Oryzias latipes: one gene and its partner. The protein of the gene in region 1 purifies or fractionates together with the protein of each later gene. This does not show direct contact. Links are inferred from orthologs where the notes say so. Each region holds a gene or a part of one and is shown on either strand. Other genes may lie near its edges.

Region 1 (4,241 bases):
TGAGCAATATATTAAAATGTTGAAGGAAAGGAATGGCTCGTATAGTGAGATGTACCTGTGGATTGTACTGCGGATGCAGATCTGACGCTGAAGGATAGGCATTTGCGTAGGGCCCTGTGGAGTGGGACTGCGGATACCAGTATTGTGGAGGGTAACTTGGATACTGAGGAGCATCCTGTAAAAGGCAAGTTGACACGAGACAGCGACTCACTTTATGTGATCCAACCCATTTTGTGTAGCTATCCTAAATCTCAAATAGAGATATGGAGAACTTGATGCTGAGAAACTTAAATGATAAACGCATTGATAAACATATACTCGTGTCTTTCTAGAAAACTAAATAAATGGATGTTAACTTGTGTTTAAATGAATGAAATAATTTGAGCTAAACCAATGATTAACTCATGAAACTCTATATGATCGCTACGATCTCCTAACGTGCAGAAGTGTTGTGTTAAATCGATATTTTCGAGTCAATGTAATTTAAAAACAAGGACTTAACTAATAAGCTAGCAGTAACTATTACATAATGCCCGCTAGCTATATTAGCTATGAAGCTAGCATGATGAACATTGCGAAGAACTTCTGCACGAACGAACAAACGGATTTTATTGTTGGGAGATTTTAAATTAATCTTTGTTTCTTTAAAGCACAATATGATCTGTCACCCCCTCCCCCCAGTAAAGTTTTTTTTAATTAATCTGCTCGCTTACCATAGTGTTACTGCAGCTTCCGTGACTATTTCCCGAGTTAGTAGAGGGCCAGCCAGTTTTCCCGTTTGGCTGCATTTGGGGTTTCTGCATCAGTTACACGTATTTTGCCATCTTCCAAAATAAGCAAGACTATCACTAGTTTACGGTTCCGCTAGAAATCTGACAGCTGATCAAAGCAGCAGCTTCCCCGCAGAAGTCAGGATCGCCTGATTGCAACCAAGAAATGAATAAATGACGCGGAACTCTGGAGACATGGTACTGCGTCTTTAAGTCGAGTAGAACCATTACAAGTAAAGAGGAGTCACTCTCTAAAACTTTCTGATCGAAATTGCTGGATGAAACCTTACAATTGCAAAACGCAGAAACGGGGAACACAATTAGAATATTTTTAATTAAAGATATTTATTTTCAATATATTTTACTGCTAAGACCAACTATTGAATTACTCCTGTAGCAGTTGTATTTTTTAAACATGTGACGCAACTTTTCAAAATTTTCATTTACGATCTTTGATGTGGCACATGCGTTGGAAGGGTTACCATCCATCATCAAATGGGGACATTTAATCCAAACATGTTTTATAGAAAATTCTTTTTGTATCATAAAATGTATGATACTTTTGTTTAAATCATTTTTACACAGTTATTTTTAGAAAATTCGAGCTATGCGCAATTACGGTGCGGAAGGGGTTAAATGTTTACAGGAAGTGTATAAAAGCACTTCCTGTGCACCGTCAAATAGAAACGGGTAAAAACATTCATGGCTTGATGGTTCAGAAATCAACTAAACGCGTGAAAACTGCAACTAAACATGAATTACGTACCAGGGACGGCCAGTCTCATTGACGATATTGACAGTAAGTTGGGCCTTATAGAAATTGCTTTTTTTAATCATAAACAAACGACACAATGTATTAGCGTGTGCCGTGTGGACGCAGATTTTTTTTAAATGTTTTTAATTTCGCAGAAAAGCACTTGGTCCTGCTGCGAGATGGCAGAACACTAATCGGTTACCTGAGAAGCATCGATCAGTTTGGTAATAAAAAATGAGAATCTTCTAAACTCTTCCATGCGGGTTTATTTTTTTATTTTTATATGATTACGCGGTGTTTCAATAGTCCTAAATTTGTTTGTTTCTTTCTTTTTTTTTTTTTTTTGTTCCACAGCCAATTTAGTCTTTCATCAGACGGTGGAGCGTATCCACGTGGGAAAGAAATTTGGAGATATTCCCAGAGGTATCTTCATCGTCAGGGGAGAAAATGTAGTCCTGCTTGGGGAAATAGTAAGTGTTTTAGAGCAATTTTTTAGTTTGTTCTAAACTTGAATGTAATTTCTGGATCAAGTTTTATTTACGTGAACTTGTTCTCAGATGCTCCGTACAGCACCAAACATCAAACTCTGAATGTGGTCAAGCATCCAGGTCTCGCACTGCAGAAAATGATGTGACTCTTATTTAAAGATCAAGTTAAATTTATATGCAAGTAAATTGTTACTTTATATAGTTACTACAGTTATAAACTTTTTTTTTTGAAAAGTTGCTGCCTAAATGAATACTTGCTTAAAAAGGAAATTGCGCACACATTGACTGTAAAGGTACCTCCATGTTAAGGTTACTTAGCAAAAACAAAAAAGGCTTAATTTTACAACTTTTTCAAATTTGCTGTTTGGTCTAGCCAGATTTTTTATTTTTCTCTCCTGGTTTTCAATATGATATAAAAGAAAAGCGGGTGGGAAAAGTGGTGAGGATTGTCAATCTTTGCTCTTTCCATATAAATACAATGCATACTTCTTCTTACTTTTTTTTTTCTTAATTATAATTTAGATTACCAATGATTACACAAATGATTGCAGGATTGCTGCTAGTTTACCTCACAACCCCAACCTAACATGATGGTGGTAGAAATGAATACGGCAACAATATTAGAGCTATCCAGCCATAGTTTGGAGCCAGATCTCAGCTCCGATGAGGGAAACAAAGAGGCACATGCATCGTTTTGTCTACAATGGATGCATCAGAATAGAGTGGTGCAGGGAGCTTGTGGCTTACCATTCGAACTTGTGTCACACAAGTTTTTCGTGGGTCCTTGAACCACGGAGTTTAAGCATCTTTTTGGGCAAAACTATGAGCAGGCCATAGCATTGAGTACTAGCAACTTTTGTTAGTGTCATGGAATGATGCACAGAGCCTAAAAGAACTTGATGACATTTTCGGATCATAAGATTTGACCTCACTCTCCTGTGTCCTGTGCAGGATTTGGATAAGCCCTGCGACACAGTCTTGCAGCAGGTTTCAATTGAGGAGATCCTGGAGGAGCAGCGGTTGCAGCAGCAGGCCAAACAGGAAACGGAGAAAGTCAAAATGCAAGCTCTGAAGGACAGAGGCCTTTCCATACCCAAAGCTGATAATTTGGACGAGTATTGAACCCTTTACAAGCCTTTTAGTTTGTATAAGACAAATGGATTTTATGTTTAACTGAAGGGTGTCTTTTGTTTTGTGGCTAGAATCATGTAAGGCACAATACTGCATTGTTTTGTTTTGCTTTTTTTTCTTTTCTTAATAGTTTCATTTAAATTGTATGGGGATGTAAGAACTGTTTAAGCAAATGGTTACAACTTGACGGCCTTTTTACAGCAGCACTTTGTCATCAATCATCATAATGACGTGAACTTTTTATTTGGAGATGGTGGGTCTGCTAGTGACTAACACTCCTGTTCTCCATTAAAACAATTGAGTTTCACTTACTAAAGCCTGCTTGAAAAATCTTTTGTCTTTGAAGGTTTAATCTGCAAGTACACAGAAAGCGGTGCGTTTAGTCATTTAAGTATTTATTGGTGACTTGACTGGCTTCCTATTGGCTAATCAAAACGTTAATTCTGTTATAGGGATGATCTTTCAGATACTGATCAATTTCCCTCATTAGCTGCTAGAATAAAGTGACGTGTAAGAGAAGCTATGCGTTTTACAGTCATCTTTATATGTACCCCGTATACTTTTTTATTTTTTTTTATTTATTTTTTTCTTAACCTATAGCAGGGTTCTGCAACCTTCAGCACATAAAGAGCCATTTGGGTTGATGTCTCAATGACCACGCCCCAGTAGGAGTCAAAGTCTTTATTTTTTTATTTTTTTAAGACTAATTTGTCTTGGATACTAATATGATAAATATAGATGAACTGTTATTTGGCATAAATAAAAAAATATAAAGAGAAAATAGCTTTTTTTTTAAAATACCGGTAGTTTAAACTTTTGATGGAGGTTCATGTGACTTCCTCTCAATAAGTGTCCTGTTTCACATGGGATCCTCTCAATCCAGCAAATGTAGAAGTGTAATGTCAGCAGTGATTAAAAATAGATATTTTAGCATTTGAGGTGCATAACAGCCAACATTTGTAAATCAAATCAACAAAAAAAAATTAGAGCTAAGTGACCCTTGCCATATTTATTAGAACCATAAGGTGAACTTAAAAATCCTTCAATTTGTTAAATAGAAAACTCACCATCCATTACTCCTTTAGTAGGAATTCTGGC
Region 2 (3,115 bases), on another chromosome or scaffold:
CTGCTGCTGGAGGTCCAGGACTTCGAGAAGCGCTTCGTGCAGACCCCCGAGGAGGAGCGTTCGGCCCTGTTGGAGCAGCACAAGACCAACACGGAGCAGCTGAGCGCCGCCCTGCGGGACAAGGACTGGGAGCACAGGTGTGTGGGGGAGGGGGCGTGGCTGCAGGGTGGGGGCGTGGCTGACACGTTACCCTCTCTTTCAGAGTGAGCGACGACCTGTGCGTGATGATCATGTCGGTGAGGAAAGGCAAGCGCCTCATGGGTAGGCTCCTCCCCTTCCTGCCTGCACCCCAGGCCGCTGCCGTCGTCATGGCGATCGCCCGCAACCTCCCCGTCTTGGCCAAGAAGGACAAGCAGGATCAGGTAACCCCCCCTTCAGATGTGCTCTCAAGACTTTTATTTTGTAAAAATGGGTGTCAAAGCTTTTATTTTCCTAAGCTAATTCTGAAGGACCCGAGGTGGACGGAGAATCTGAAGTTTGTGGGCGGAGTCTTTGGTTCAGCTTCTGAAAAGACAGAATAAAACCCTTTTTGATTGGCAGATGGGTGGGGCTGCCCCCCCCCCCACCTGCGGTTCTGTTTTTGACAGCCCCTCCCTCCCACACACACCCACTGCTTCAGTTAGCAGGGTTCGCTTTCACGCCGTCTTTCCATGGGGGTGGGGTGGGTCAGCGGCGTGCTGAAGCTCCTCCCCCTCCTGCTCTCTCAGCAGCTGTCTCCTCACCTGTGCAGGTGCTGTGCTGCCTGTTGGATCCGGTGTCGGCGGTGGTTCAGTCGCTGGCGAGCTCCGCCCTCACCGACCTGCTGCAGGAGCTGCAGGGGAGCGAGGGTCAGCTGACCACGGTGCTGCAGAACAAGGTGAGACAAACTGCGTGGAGGAGGCTCCGCCTTAAACTGCGTTCACGCCGAACGCCATTTTCGCGGCAGTGGCGGGCAGTTTCAATGTTAAGTCTATGACCTTTTCATTGACCCGATGGGCGGGTAAAATACATCCAATGGCGGCGATTTGTCCTGAACTTCCATCCGTTTCGTTAACCCGCCGTGTTGCTGGAGCCCGTCCGGCTTCTGTAGGGCGAAGGCGGGAAACGCCCCGGACAGGTCATCAGCCTGTCACGCCGCTGCGGGGTGGGTAGGCCGCCTGTCGGCCCTCATGATATTTTACTTATTTTGAAAGACAATAATTAAAAAATTCCCCTCATTTTATTCTTGTTTTCATCATTTATGAATATTTTTTATTTTAGTTTTTGTTCCTTTTTCATTTGTGATGAAATTGCCTTAAAATGTCTGATTTCTGCAGAAAGTAGGGCTGGGTTGATAAAATCAATTCATCTGAATAGATCCAAGGTGGATAGATCAATAATCGATCCATAAAAGTAGACATTGATCTTTTATGACTTTCTTTTTCCGGTACTGAACCCATCACAGCAGTAGAGAAGTCTGCTAGCTTGATGCTAACACATAATGGAATTTCCCATAGAACGGCTAATGCTAACGCTCCAAACAGGAAGGAAACCTTTTTAAAAGTAACCATTTCTGTTCTGGACACCAGCAGCTGAGCGTTTCCTCTCTGCCTGTGCGTGTGTGTGTGTGTGTGTGCGCACGTGTGCAGTTCGGCGTGACGCTGCTGTATCTGATCCTGAGCGAGGGCGAGCGGATGCAGAGCTCCGACCCCGTTTGTCAGCTGATGGACGACAATCGATGGTGAGCCGCTCTTCCTCACATCCTCTTCCTCTCCTTCCTGACTGACACACTCTTCCTCTTGACCCCCCAGGACTGAGTTGGTGTTCTCGGTGATGAGGGAGCTGCTCAGCGTCTCCTCTTCATCGCTCTCCCCTCCACTCTTCACCCCCCCCAACCTGCTGTCCCTCTTTTCAAGATATGTGGACCGGCAGAGGCTGGAGCTGCTGCAGGACAAGCTGCAGTGAGCGCGCTCACATGCACACGCACACACATGCACACGCATGCACACTCACATACGCAGACATGCACACTCACATACGCACGCACATGCATGTACTGTCATGTGCGCGCACACATGCGCATGTGCACACATACCTGCATGCACACATACCTGCACACACACACATGTGCACACCATTGCACACCTGAATGTGCGCACGGGTACAGACATAGACATAAACATGCACGCACACTCGTGCACACACATGCAGACCTACACAATACGTGCACACACATGCAGACATATACGTGCACACACGTGCACAGTCAGCCTAATGGTTTCTAAATCCGTTTTGTCTTCCAGAATCTCTGCCTCATCGAGGTAGAAGTGACTTCAACATCCACACGCCCCCCCCCCACCCAGCCCATGCAGAACGTGTGTGTGTTTGTGCGTCAGAGGAGCGAGTGTGTTTGTGTGTCGTTGAGCTTCATCTAGCAGACTTGTTTTACTGCAGCAGAATCTGGTTTGTTTAGTGTTTGAATCTGAATGGAGATCCAGATGGAATCTGCATTTTTAAATCTCTTGTTTACGATTATTCCTGTGACAAAATAAAAAGTATTTCTATTATATAGACACAGGTGTGCTCTGCTCTTCTTCTGCTCTTCTTCAGCTCCTGATTCGTCCGTCCGGTGTGGACGGACGATACCAGTGATCCAGTTCTTCATGAGGTTTCAGATCCAAACATGACTCAGCAGCTTTAGACTCACCTGGTCTCACCTGTGATGGGTTTTCGGTCAGCTACAGGAACACGTCCACTTGGGACACATAAATCCTCCTCCTAGTCCAGTAACTCGTAACCATCGGGCTGCGGCTCAGTGGCCCAGTGGCCCAGTGGCCCAGTGGCCCAGTCCTGGTCCGTGTGCGTGTAGGAGTGAACCGCAATAGTCAAGTCTGCCTGAATTTGTGGCCGCGGGGCGTCATTGCAGCCTCCCACCACTTGGGGGCAGCGATGCGTGTTGTAGCACGTGCCCAAAGAGTTTTGCACGTGCCAACAGAAAGTGCCATAGAAAGTTCTATCATATTTTATTAATTGCATTGCAGACTGTGTTATTAACCTGTAGAGATTGAGCTGCATACGTTAAACAGAGATCCCTTCTGCTTTCGTAAGCAGAACTCTGCCCTTCAAAGACAAATCTCTTTGCAGCCATTGGTTTAGG

The links.
Region 2: the proteins of lsm1 (region 1) and patl1 purify together in Homo sapiens (co-immunoprecipitation; 3 studies listed by BioGRID and IntAct, with this or other methods). This does not show direct contact. The link is inferred for Oryzias latipes from reciprocal best matches to the Homo sapiens genes LSM1 and PATL1.

Annotation. Positions count from the first base shown.
Region 1 is NC_019867.2:18,635,552-18,639,792, forward strand, and holds lsm1 (U6 snRNA-associated Sm-like protein LSm1), read left to right. Parts: upstream 1-1,433; 5' UTR 1,434-1,523; coding exon 1,524-1,569; intron 1,570-1,679; coding exon 1,680-1,748; intron 1,749-1,878; coding exon 1,879-1,994; intron 1,995-2,963; coding exon 2,964-3,134; 3' UTR 3,135-3,662; downstream 3,663-4,241. Other genes in the region: bag4 (BAG family molecular chaperone regulator 4), read right to left, coding at 56-175, 714-803. UniProt on the Homo sapiens protein: Plays a role in the degradation of histone mRNAs, the only eukaryotic mRNAs that are not polyadenylated. Probably also part of an LSm subunits-containing complex involved in the general process of mRNA degradation.
Region 2 is NC_019859.2:1,009,726-1,012,840, reverse strand, and holds the end of patl1 (protein PAT1 homolog 1), read left to right. Parts: coding exon 1-137; intron 138-202; coding exon 203-362; intron 363-730; coding exon 731-856; intron 857-1,607; coding exon 1,608-1,699; intron 1,700-1,769; coding exon 1,770-1,919; intron 1,920-2,261; coding exon 2,262-2,283; 3' UTR 2,284-2,531; downstream 2,532-3,115. UniProt on the Homo sapiens protein: RNA-binding protein involved in deadenylation-dependent decapping of mRNAs, leading to the degradation of mRNAs. Acts as a scaffold protein that connects deadenylation and decapping machinery.